Linked DNA regions of Cricetulus griseus. Each later gene encodes a partner of the first gene's protein in a complex. Links are inferred from orthologs where the notes say so. Each region holds a gene or a part of one and is shown on either strand. Other genes may lie near its edges.

Region 1 (4,598 bases):
CTGCATCTCCTTGAGAAGTTCTTCAAACCTCTTCCAGAAAGCTACGATGAGTTTAAGCAGAACATCCACAGCCTATTTCCTGTCATCATCGACACCAAGAATGTGACAGAAGACATCTGGAAGGAAATGCATTTCCTACAAGCCTCCAACCTCTCAGAAGTAAGTGTATGATGTGCTGAGCAGTGACTTGAATGCCACTAACAATTCTGGACCAGAGATTATCCATGCAAGCGAGTGTGAGAAATATGCTGAGACCAAGTGCCCCCATGAAGCCGGATACAATGCCTTCCTCTGCGGGTCAGTTCTCTTGAAAGTAGCACACTTGCTCCTGGAGAGGGTGCATGGTGATGGTTCTGTGGACGAGCTCACCTCACATACCTGGATGTGCTGGAGCACTATGTGAACCAAGTGAATCTTATCAGAGCTGGGGTTCCTAAAATTAATCTTTCTGGCCCAGATTACCCCAGTATCTGGCCTCCTGCACTCATCCTCACCGTCAAGAGGGCCTGGGGTCACCGAGCATCAGGTCTACTGTGAGTTCCAATATCTTTGCAGGTTGGATGTCAGGCGGTTCACCCCAAACCAGTTTCTGCTCCTGACCAATAAGTTTAAGGATGCCTGTAGTGTCTTGAAGGAGTACAGGAGCCACCCAACCCTGCAGGTCTCCCTATACTGCTACTGGAAACATTCCTCCAACATCACCTGCCTGTTAAAAGTCTGCAGCATCATCACCACCTGGGCCGTAGTTGCATTTGTCCTGGGCAGATCCAGCCCCAGAGTACATTGATCCTCGACTACTGCGGGAGCTTCCCGGGATGGCCCTCATGACTTGTCTGTATAAACAAGTTTGTTTTCAGGAAAAAAAAAAATATATATATATATATAAAAGAGTGTCTAGTACTTTTGACCCATTGCACCATCTCACCAGTCCTACAGTGTGATTTTGTTGTTGTTTTGATTTTTGAGACAGGGTTTCTCTGTGAAAGCCTCTGCCTCCTGCCTATTTTTTTTTTTTTTTAGATCTGAAAATTTTCATATTCATTCTGATTCGAGTTTGGAAAGTGAGAACTACTGTAATATGGACTGTGAGTCTTCTTCTATTCAGAATGCTACGTATCCAGTCTCTCAATAGTGGGTTAGGAAGGGTCTTGGGCAGAACTGAGTGGCTCCAAACATTTGACATCTTCCTGGGAAAGGCTGAAGGTCCAGCACCTTCTCCCAAGGTCAGTGATGAGTAGAGATTTTGAAGTTATCACAGGGTTCTCAGCCAGGCAGCCAAGGTCCCTTCCTCCCACTCTACAGAGAAAAGAGGAGGTGGTTGAAGAAAGGATATGAGATTGGTTCTCTGCTCCTCCCTTTCTCTCCCTGTTTTCTCCCCCACAGCTGCCTTCTCCCCCACAGAAACTGGGATAGGACAGAGGGGGGCGGAGTTTGGAAGCCCTACAGTGCCCTGTATCAGTAGGAATCCTTGGATGGAGTAGCTGTGCTGGTTTGTGCTGTCCAGCTGCCATCCTTTAGCAGGATGCTGGGGACACTGGGGCTTTGGACATTGCTTCCTGCAGTTGCACAAGGTAAGTGTCTACAGATACAGGCAGGGTCTTAACACAATCCAATAAGGGGAAAGGTATACTTGAAGCAGCAGCTACCCCTTTGGAAGAGGAAGAGGTCAGTGGGCTGGGTGAGTAAAGATGAAGGGCAGAGCCACTTGTTCCCATGGGGGATCAGGCCTCAGGCCTCTGCTGACTGTTTCCTTGTGCCTCTGCCATCCTGACCCTGGGCTCCTATTTTGTTTATCCTTTTGGCTGCTGTTTGTCCCCTGACTTTACTCCCTTCTTGACTCCCCTTTCTTCACCTTTGATTTCAGTAACCCCAAACAGTAGGACCTGTGTGTTCTTTGAGGCTCCTGGAGTACGAGGAAGCGCAAAGACACTGGGGGAAGTGCTAGATGAAAGACCAGGACCCCCTAAGAGTATCCGCTGCCTCTACAGCCATTGCTGCTTTGGCATCTGGAACCTGACCCATGGACGGGCACGTGTGGAGATGCAAGGTGAATGGCAAAATATATGGTGGGTGAGAGCTAGGGTAGAGGAGAGGCATGTCCAAGTTGAGGGAGGCAGCCAAGAGGAAAGGGAGAAGCGGAGTGTGTAGATGGGAGAAAAGCATGTCGGAGGGATGCCTTTGATAGAGAAGGGATGTGCTTTCTGCCTCCCAACATCATTGTACTCTCTCTCCTTTTCCTCCGTCCCCCAATCCCATCCCACCAGGATGCCGAGACAGTGATGAGCCAGGCTGTGAGTCCCTCCACTGTGACCCAGTCCCCCGAGCCCACCCAAGCCCCATCTCCACTCTCCTCACATGTTCTTGTGGCAGTGACTTCTGCAATGCCAATTACAGCCATCTGCCTCCTTCAGGGAACCAAGGGGCGCCTGGCCCCCAGGATCCCCAGCCTACCACAGGTAGTTGCCTTCCCTAGGGTACTAAGCTCAGAAAGGGTAGGAGCATAGGTCAGGATGAGAACCAGGGCCAGTTCTCAGCCCACTCCCACCCAAAGTTTCCCTCCTCCTGGCCTTGGGAAGTTGGTTGCCCTGGCGACTGGGAGATAAGGGGGCTTGTGACCAGCATGGGGGTGGTTTGGAAAGCAATCTCTTTGAAGAGGGGAGAGGTTCAGTGCTCACCCACGTGTCTTCTTGCCTTGCTGTCCAGGTGGGCCCATCTGGATGGCACTGCTGCTGCTGGGAATGTTCCTCGTGCTGCTACTGGGCAGCATCATCTTGGGTACTAATCTCTCCCACCCCTCCCTTGTGATAGCAAGGCTCTTCCCCAAAGCTCCAAGCCTTCTTCAGGCTCTGCAGACGCCCCCCACCACCAGTTTTGGGATCTCTGTAACCCATTTCATTGTATGAAGCTCTCTTCCCACATAGCCTCCTTGGCTGCCTCCATCCTGTGCACCCTACCCTAAGGCTCTTCTCTGCTTCAGCCCTGCTACAACGAAAGACCTGTGCAGTGAACGGTGGGTCAGACCCGGAGCCAGTCTCAGGCGGAGACTGCAGTGAGGAATTGCCAGAGCTGAATGAGCTGTGCTTCTCCCAGGTGCTTCATAAAAGGAGGGTGGGTTTCTCTGGTACTCTTGGAGGTTCTGCTGGGGAGGAAGCCTGGTTCTGATGCTAGCTCAGAGGTCCGCACTCAGTGCAGTGTTTCCACCAGGTAATCCAAGAAGGAGGTCACGCAGTCGTGTGGGCCGGGAGGCTACAGGGTGAGATGGTAGCCATCAAGGCCTTCCCCCCAAGGGCTGTGGCCCAGTTCCGAGCTGAGAGAGCTGTGTACCAGTTGCCAGGCCTACAGCACAACCACATTGTACGCTTTATCACTGCTGGCCAGGGGGGTCCTGGCCCCCTGCCCTCTGGGCCTTTACTGGTACTGGAACTGTACCCTAAGGTGAGCACCAAGAAATGTCGGTAATGTGCACTATGCCTATTTTTGTGCTCATGGAAGTGAGGTGCTTCGTGCCTTCCTTAGGACACTGTTGGGTTTTTTGTTGTTTGTTGTTTTGTTTTTCGAGACAGGGTTTCTCTATATTGCTTTGGAGCCTGTCCTGTGTGCCACCACTGCCCAGCTAGAAATGAGCCACTGTTAAATATGAGCCACTGGATAAATAATATCCAACCACAGCTGTCCAACTCATTCATGTGTTTATTTAACCAATATTTATAAACAATATGGCAGGCTGGAGAGATGGCTCAGTGGTTAAGAGCACTGTCTGCTCTTCCAGAGGACCTGGGTTCAATTCCCAGAATCCATGTGGCAGCTCACACCTGTCTGTTACTCCAGTTCCAGGATTTCTTACACCCTTACACAGACATACATGCAGGCAAAACACCAATAAAAATAAATATAAACTTCTTAAAAAAAAAAAAAAGCCAGGTGGTAACGGCACATGCCTTTAATCCCAGCACTCGGGAGGCAGAGTCAGAAGGATCTCTGTGAGTTCGAGACCAGCCTGGTCTACAGAGTGAATTCCAGGACAGCCTCCAAAGCTACAGAGAAACGCTGTCTCGAAAAACAAACAGAAAGATTTGCCCTGAGGGATGGTGAGATGGCTCAGCTATGATGCTTGCTGTGCAAGCCTTGGGGATCTGAGTTCAGTCCCCAGAACCCAAGCAAAAATAGAAAGAGAGAACTGCACAAAGTTGTTCTCTGACCCCCACACACGCACTATAGCATGTGCTCCCAAAGACTCCCCCTTTCTATAATAATAAATTTCAAAAAATTATGTGTATAAGAGGCAGATGGATCTCTGTGAGTTTGAGACCAGTCTGGTCTACAGAGTGAGTTCCAGGACAGCCAGGACTACACAGAGAAACCTGACTCAAAAAACAAACAAAAATTTATTGTTTCACATGCATATATTATGCTTTACACCGAGTGCATGCCTGGAGAGGACACCAGATCTCCCGGGGCTGCAGTTTCAGATGAGCTGCTATTCAGGTACTGGAAATTAAACCCCAGTCCTCTGGACGTGCAGGCAGTGTAACTGCTAAGCCATCACTACATCCCTTAGTTTTCTATTTTTGTTTTTTTAATAAAATGAATGTATGTGA
Region 2 (4,444 bases), on another chromosome or scaffold:
GCATTTTTAAAGGTGTGTGTGTGTGTGTGTGTGTATTGGGATGTGCAAGTGGCCTTTACTACTGCTGAGCTATTTCTCTAGCCCCCCCGCCCTTGAGGCAGAGTCTCTTTATTTAGCTTTGGAGGTCTGCCAGTTCTACAGAGCGAGTTCATGACAGCATGGGCTACACAGAGAAACCCTGTCTCAAAAAAGGAATCGTGATGGGGACAGAGAGCTTCCTCACTGGGGTGTGTGTGTGTGTGTGTGTGTGTGTGTGTGTGAGAGAGAGAGAGAGAGAGAGAGAGAGAGAGAGAGAGAGAGAGAGTGTGCACAGGTCTTGCACTTGAGAAGGGAGGTGACAGGAGGTCCCTTCACCCGCAGACACCCCAGCTGAGTGTTTGCTGATCTTTATTGGAGAACTGACTGGAGGCAAGGCGAGCGTCACCGGCAGCCACACTCAGTGGCCACCATATTGGGCACATGGTGCGCGCTGATGCGCTCCTCGGACAGGCTGATGAGCAGCTTGCCAGCATAGGCAGTGGGCACACAGCAGGGCAGGCGCCCCAGAGCGGCCCCGCGAGCCTGCATCTTCAGCAGGAGCACCACGTGGTTCCCATACCGAGGGTTGCGGTCGGACTGTGGCCACGTGCAGGCGCCTTGGCAGTTGTTGGCCTGGTAGGTCTCGGGGATGAGCACGGACCGCTCTGCGCGCAAGTCTACGCTCAGCTCACGCAGTGCGCATGGCCCCTCTGTCCCTGTCCCTGCGCTGCGCCCCGCCCTCCCGCGCCCTTCCCGCCCACGCCACTCTGCACGCAGGCCCTGCAGCGCCTTCAGCAGCAGCAGCGCGCGCAACGGGTCCCCGGGGCTGTGGGTGTCGTTGGGGCACAGTGCCAGTAGGCGCGATAGCAGCGGGGGCGCAGCGGGTGGCAGGCCCGGGAGGCCCCGCAGCTCTGAGGCAGCTGCCTGCAGCTCCACGGACACCCTGCGTGCCAGGCCGGCTGCCCACGGAGCAGAGGCAGGGTCCTGCAGCGGGGTGGGTTCCCCCATGGTGGCCGCAGCGGGAGACAACAGCAGGAGCAGTGGTTCCTCCCCATCGAGCAGGCGTTCCAGTGCAGTGGGGTCTGACAGGTTGACAAGGCCCTGTGGGAAGCTGGCCAGCGCCCCAGGGTCCAGGGCCAGATGTGTATGTGAGGCCCGGGTCGGGGGTCCCCGTAGGGCACGTACCAAGCGAGTGAGGGTCTCTAGGAAGGGATCAGTGCTGTGTGGCAGCTCCTCTGGCTCCAGGGACAGCCTGGAATAGAAGGAACGCAGTGGGCCAGCCGTGAGCACAAGAGGGTGTGGCGGATACATCCCTCTTCCGCCCTCTTCCCAGTGCATTCCCTGCTCCAGCCCTGTGCATACCTGAGTGGCGGGAAGGGCATGGTGTCCAGCTGGCCATGCGCTGGCTGCAGTGATGGTGGGACGGGTGGCAGCAACAGCAGGGTTGGGGTCATGCGTGTGAAACAGCGAGAGTCAGAGCCGAACAGAAAGGCCTGCAACTGGGTGATGCTCAGGGCGGCACCTGCGGAGGGTGGGCACGAGGCTGGCTGAGGGCCAGGGCTAAGGGCAGCCTCTTTGCACACACTCCTCACTTCCTCCTGTTCCTACCTTCTCTGAGTGGCTGAAGGGTTAGGGCGAGGCCGGGGCCGCTCCAGGCCCCCGCTGGAGAGTCCACAGCCAGCACCAAATACCGGGTGTCTCGAGTAGGGCAGAGGTTCTGTGGATACCGGGGCTCAGCTGGACTGACCAGGATGGCCAGGCTACCAGGCAGCACCCTCCCATACTGGGAGAAGACTCCCAGAGACACTCTTGACCCTAGGGACCCTTCTGTTAGGCAGATCTTTATACACCCCAACCAGATGGCTGTTCAGGGATGGCCCCATGCCACTCTCAGGTACCTGTGTGCCCTGCAGTCCAGCCCCTGTGACTGTGACCTGGGGGCCAGGTCCAGGGTATAGCACCAGCAAGGCCTGCTCCCAGCTGCTGTCTCCCCCATGTGGAGGCTCTTGGAACTTCAGTAAGAGCGTGGGCTCCCATTTCACTATGGAACGAATATTGGTGACAAGTCAGTCTGTGGACACTAGTTTCCATCCCTCAAGACCTGTCTGTCCTACAGGTTTCCTCAGCTGGAACCTAACTGGGGTGTATAAAGATCTCCTGAGGCCATGCAGGCCTGAAGGACCCTGATCCAAGGTGTGAGGTGAGGACCTTGCTTCCCTGTCAGGGAAGGAGTGATGACTGGCATTCTGTCCACTGCAGCTCACCCACAAGTGTACAAGGCTCTGCCTTGCAGCCAAGCAACAGGATTTCTCACAGCCTCTCCCCAGACCTTGGGAGGAGCCTCGGGTAGTAGTAAGAGGCCCAAGACACAGGGGGGCTGAACAGGGTCCATCACGTACCTTCAGCCAGATGCAAGACCAGCAACTGCTGCCCCCCAGTCTCCCCCAGCCAGGCCCCAAGGCGCTGCAGGGCTGGCAGGATAGCCTGGGAGTCAGGACTGCAGACTCCGAAGGTGGCCAGGTCTTGGGGTCCCCAGTGAGACTCCTGTACAGCCTCCAGGAAGGAATGCTCATAACTGTCCAGGCCCCCTACCACCCTTAGCGGGGCTCTGCTTGTGTTCCTCAAGCCTCTCAGTGTCACCAGGCACAAGGGCTCTGGGGGACTGCTGAGAGGCCAGATCCCATCTTCAAAGAAGATGAGGCCCCTGGTGCTGGTGGCTCTTTTGAGGTCTTCTTTGAGGGTCTTGGCCTGTAACACAGTGCCCATGGTCACCAGCAGCAGCACTAGTGGAGAGAGGGGTGGTCCCTGCATGGTAGAGCAACAAGGGCTGGGAGGCCCTGCTTATATGTTTGGCTGAGCCAGAGTGCTTGGGAGGGACACCCCTATCAACTCCGGAGGTGGAGGTGACCTTGGGGGACAGTGCCTGGTGCCCTGTGTGCACAGCAGGTGGGAGGTGGCTTTCTCAAAGGGTTTTCTGTCCTCACAGCCAGGCCCACAACTGCAGAGGCTAGAACTGTCCTTGGGTAGTTCCCATCTGCCTAGGGAGTCCACCTGGAGGACTCACAGGTCATCATGCCTTCAATGAAGGCACACAGCACCCGCCCATACCCCCCACCACAGACACACACTGCAGACAGGGAGACATGGGGGAGGCTGTTTAATGGGCTCAGGACAGGACAAAACAGAAAACTTTTCCAAGGACTGGCCAGGAAAAGGCCACACACAGGCAGCAAGGGATGCTGGGGCCAGTGTTCAGTTGCCTGGGGGAGGAGGAGGCATGCTCCCAGGGCCATCTGATGGGAGTGGGGGCCTTAGCATGGGGGGCATAGGAGCTGGGTGCACACCAGGATTTGAGGGGTGAACCCCTGGAGGCTGAGGGTGGACCACAGGGGTGGCAGGATGGACCCCAGGAGGAGGCTGGGGATGCACCCCAGGAGCCTGAGGGTGGATACCAGGAGCTGGGGGGTGCACCCCAGGGGCCTGAGGGTGAACTGCAGGAGTAGGTGGATGTACTCCTGGAGCCTGAGGATGAACTCCAGCTGATGGGGGAGGGTGGACCCCTGGAGCTGGTGGGTGCACACCTGGAGCTGGTGGGTGCACACCTGGAGCTGGTGGGTGCACACCTGGGGCTGGTGGGTGCACTCCAGGGGCTGGTGGGTGCACCCCAGGGGCTGGAGGGTGCACCCCAGGGGCTGGTGGGTGCACTCCAGGGGCTGGTGGGTGCACCCCAGGGGCTGGTGGGTGCACCCCAGATGTTTGTGGGTGTACCCCAGGGGCTGAGGGGTGTACCCCAGGGGCTGGAGGATGGACCCCAGATGTGGGTGGATGGACTACTGGGGCTGGTGGATGGACCCCAGGAGCTGGTGGAGGCATCTGGGGAGGTCCAGGGGGCCCAGCGGGAGTAGGCCCTGTGGGGGGCATAGGGGGCAAAGGCAGGCCACCAGGCGGAGGTGGGGGCAAGGCATCCGGCAGTGGAGGGCGAGGAGGCAGGCCATTCATGAGTGGGGGTGGGGGCCGCTTGACGCCTGGGGGTCCAGCTGGGAGACTGGGTGGGGCCGGTGGCTTTTCCATTTTAAAGTGGAACTGAAGAAAAAACTGCAGGGGAGGAGGGTCAGAGGCTGGAGGAGCAGGGGGGGTGGGGGTAGGGGAGTACCCAGGCAAGTCTTGCCACACCTTACCTGCTTGGTCTCTCGGTTCCAGTGGGTCCAGAATTTGCCCTCAGCCTTGTCAATCTCCCGGCTTGGCACCTGGGGGAGGGAAGCAGAGGCTGCACCCTGGGACCAATACAAACAGACAAACCTGAATTTATCTTTCTCCTCCAGTCCTCAGGGTCACTACCTTGAAGGCAATGGTCTCATAGGGCTCAGCAGCCATGAGTAGGTACTGCCAGCGGCGGTCTGGGGGCTCTATCCTCTGCTCATAGGCA

Evidence for each region.
Region 2: the proteins of Amhr2 (region 1) and Amh are in contact, whole or in part, in a crystal structure (PDB 7L0J), measured with the Homo sapiens proteins. The link is inferred for Cricetulus griseus from reciprocal best matches to the Homo sapiens genes AMHR2 and AMH. Residues at the interface, in NP_065434.1 of Homo sapiens: Gly31, Val32, Arg33, Gly34, Ser35, Thr36, Thr38, Leu39, Phe62, Ile64, Glu75, Met76, Arg80, Asp81, Ser82, Glu84, Pro85, Ser95, Arg97, Ala98, Pro100, Ser101, Leu106, Thr108; in NP_000470.3 of Homo sapiens: Leu471, Arg472, Glu474, Val477, Leu478, Ile479, Pro480, Glu481, Thr482, Tyr483, Gln484, Lys534, Leu535, Ile537, Leu539, Glu542, Arg543, Ile544, Ser545, Ala546.

Annotation. Positions count from the first base shown.
Region 1 is NC_048595.1:398,821,674-398,826,271, forward strand, and holds the start of Amhr2 (anti-Muellerian hormone type-2 receptor), read left to right. Parts: upstream 1-1,522; coding exon 1,523-1,571; exon of another isoform or gene 1,572-1,864; coding exon 1,865-2,047; intron 2,048-2,264; coding exon 2,265-2,456; intron 2,457-2,703; coding exon 2,704-2,775; intron 2,776-2,977; coding exon 2,978-3,090; intron 3,091-3,204; coding exon 3,205-3,435; intron 3,436-4,598. UniProt on the Homo sapiens protein: On ligand binding, forms a receptor complex consisting of two type II and two type I transmembrane serine/threonine kinases.
Region 2 is NC_048598.1:101,586,347-101,590,790, reverse strand, and holds Amh (muellerian-inhibiting factor), read right to left. Parts: upstream 3,015-4,444; 5' UTR 2,830-3,014; coding exon 2,418-2,829; intron 2,060-2,417; coding exon 1,917-2,059; intron 1,736-1,916; coding exon 1,627-1,735; intron 1,541-1,626; coding exon 1,381-1,540; intron 1,271-1,380; coding exon 421-1,270; 3' UTR 346-420; downstream 1-345. Other genes in the region: Sf3a2 (splicing factor 3A subunit 2), read right to left, coding at 3,271-4,113, 4,197-4,265, 4,357-4,444. UniProt on the Homo sapiens protein: Plays an important role in several reproductive functions. Induces Muellerian duct regression during male fetal sexual differentiation. Also plays a role in Leydig cell differentiation and function.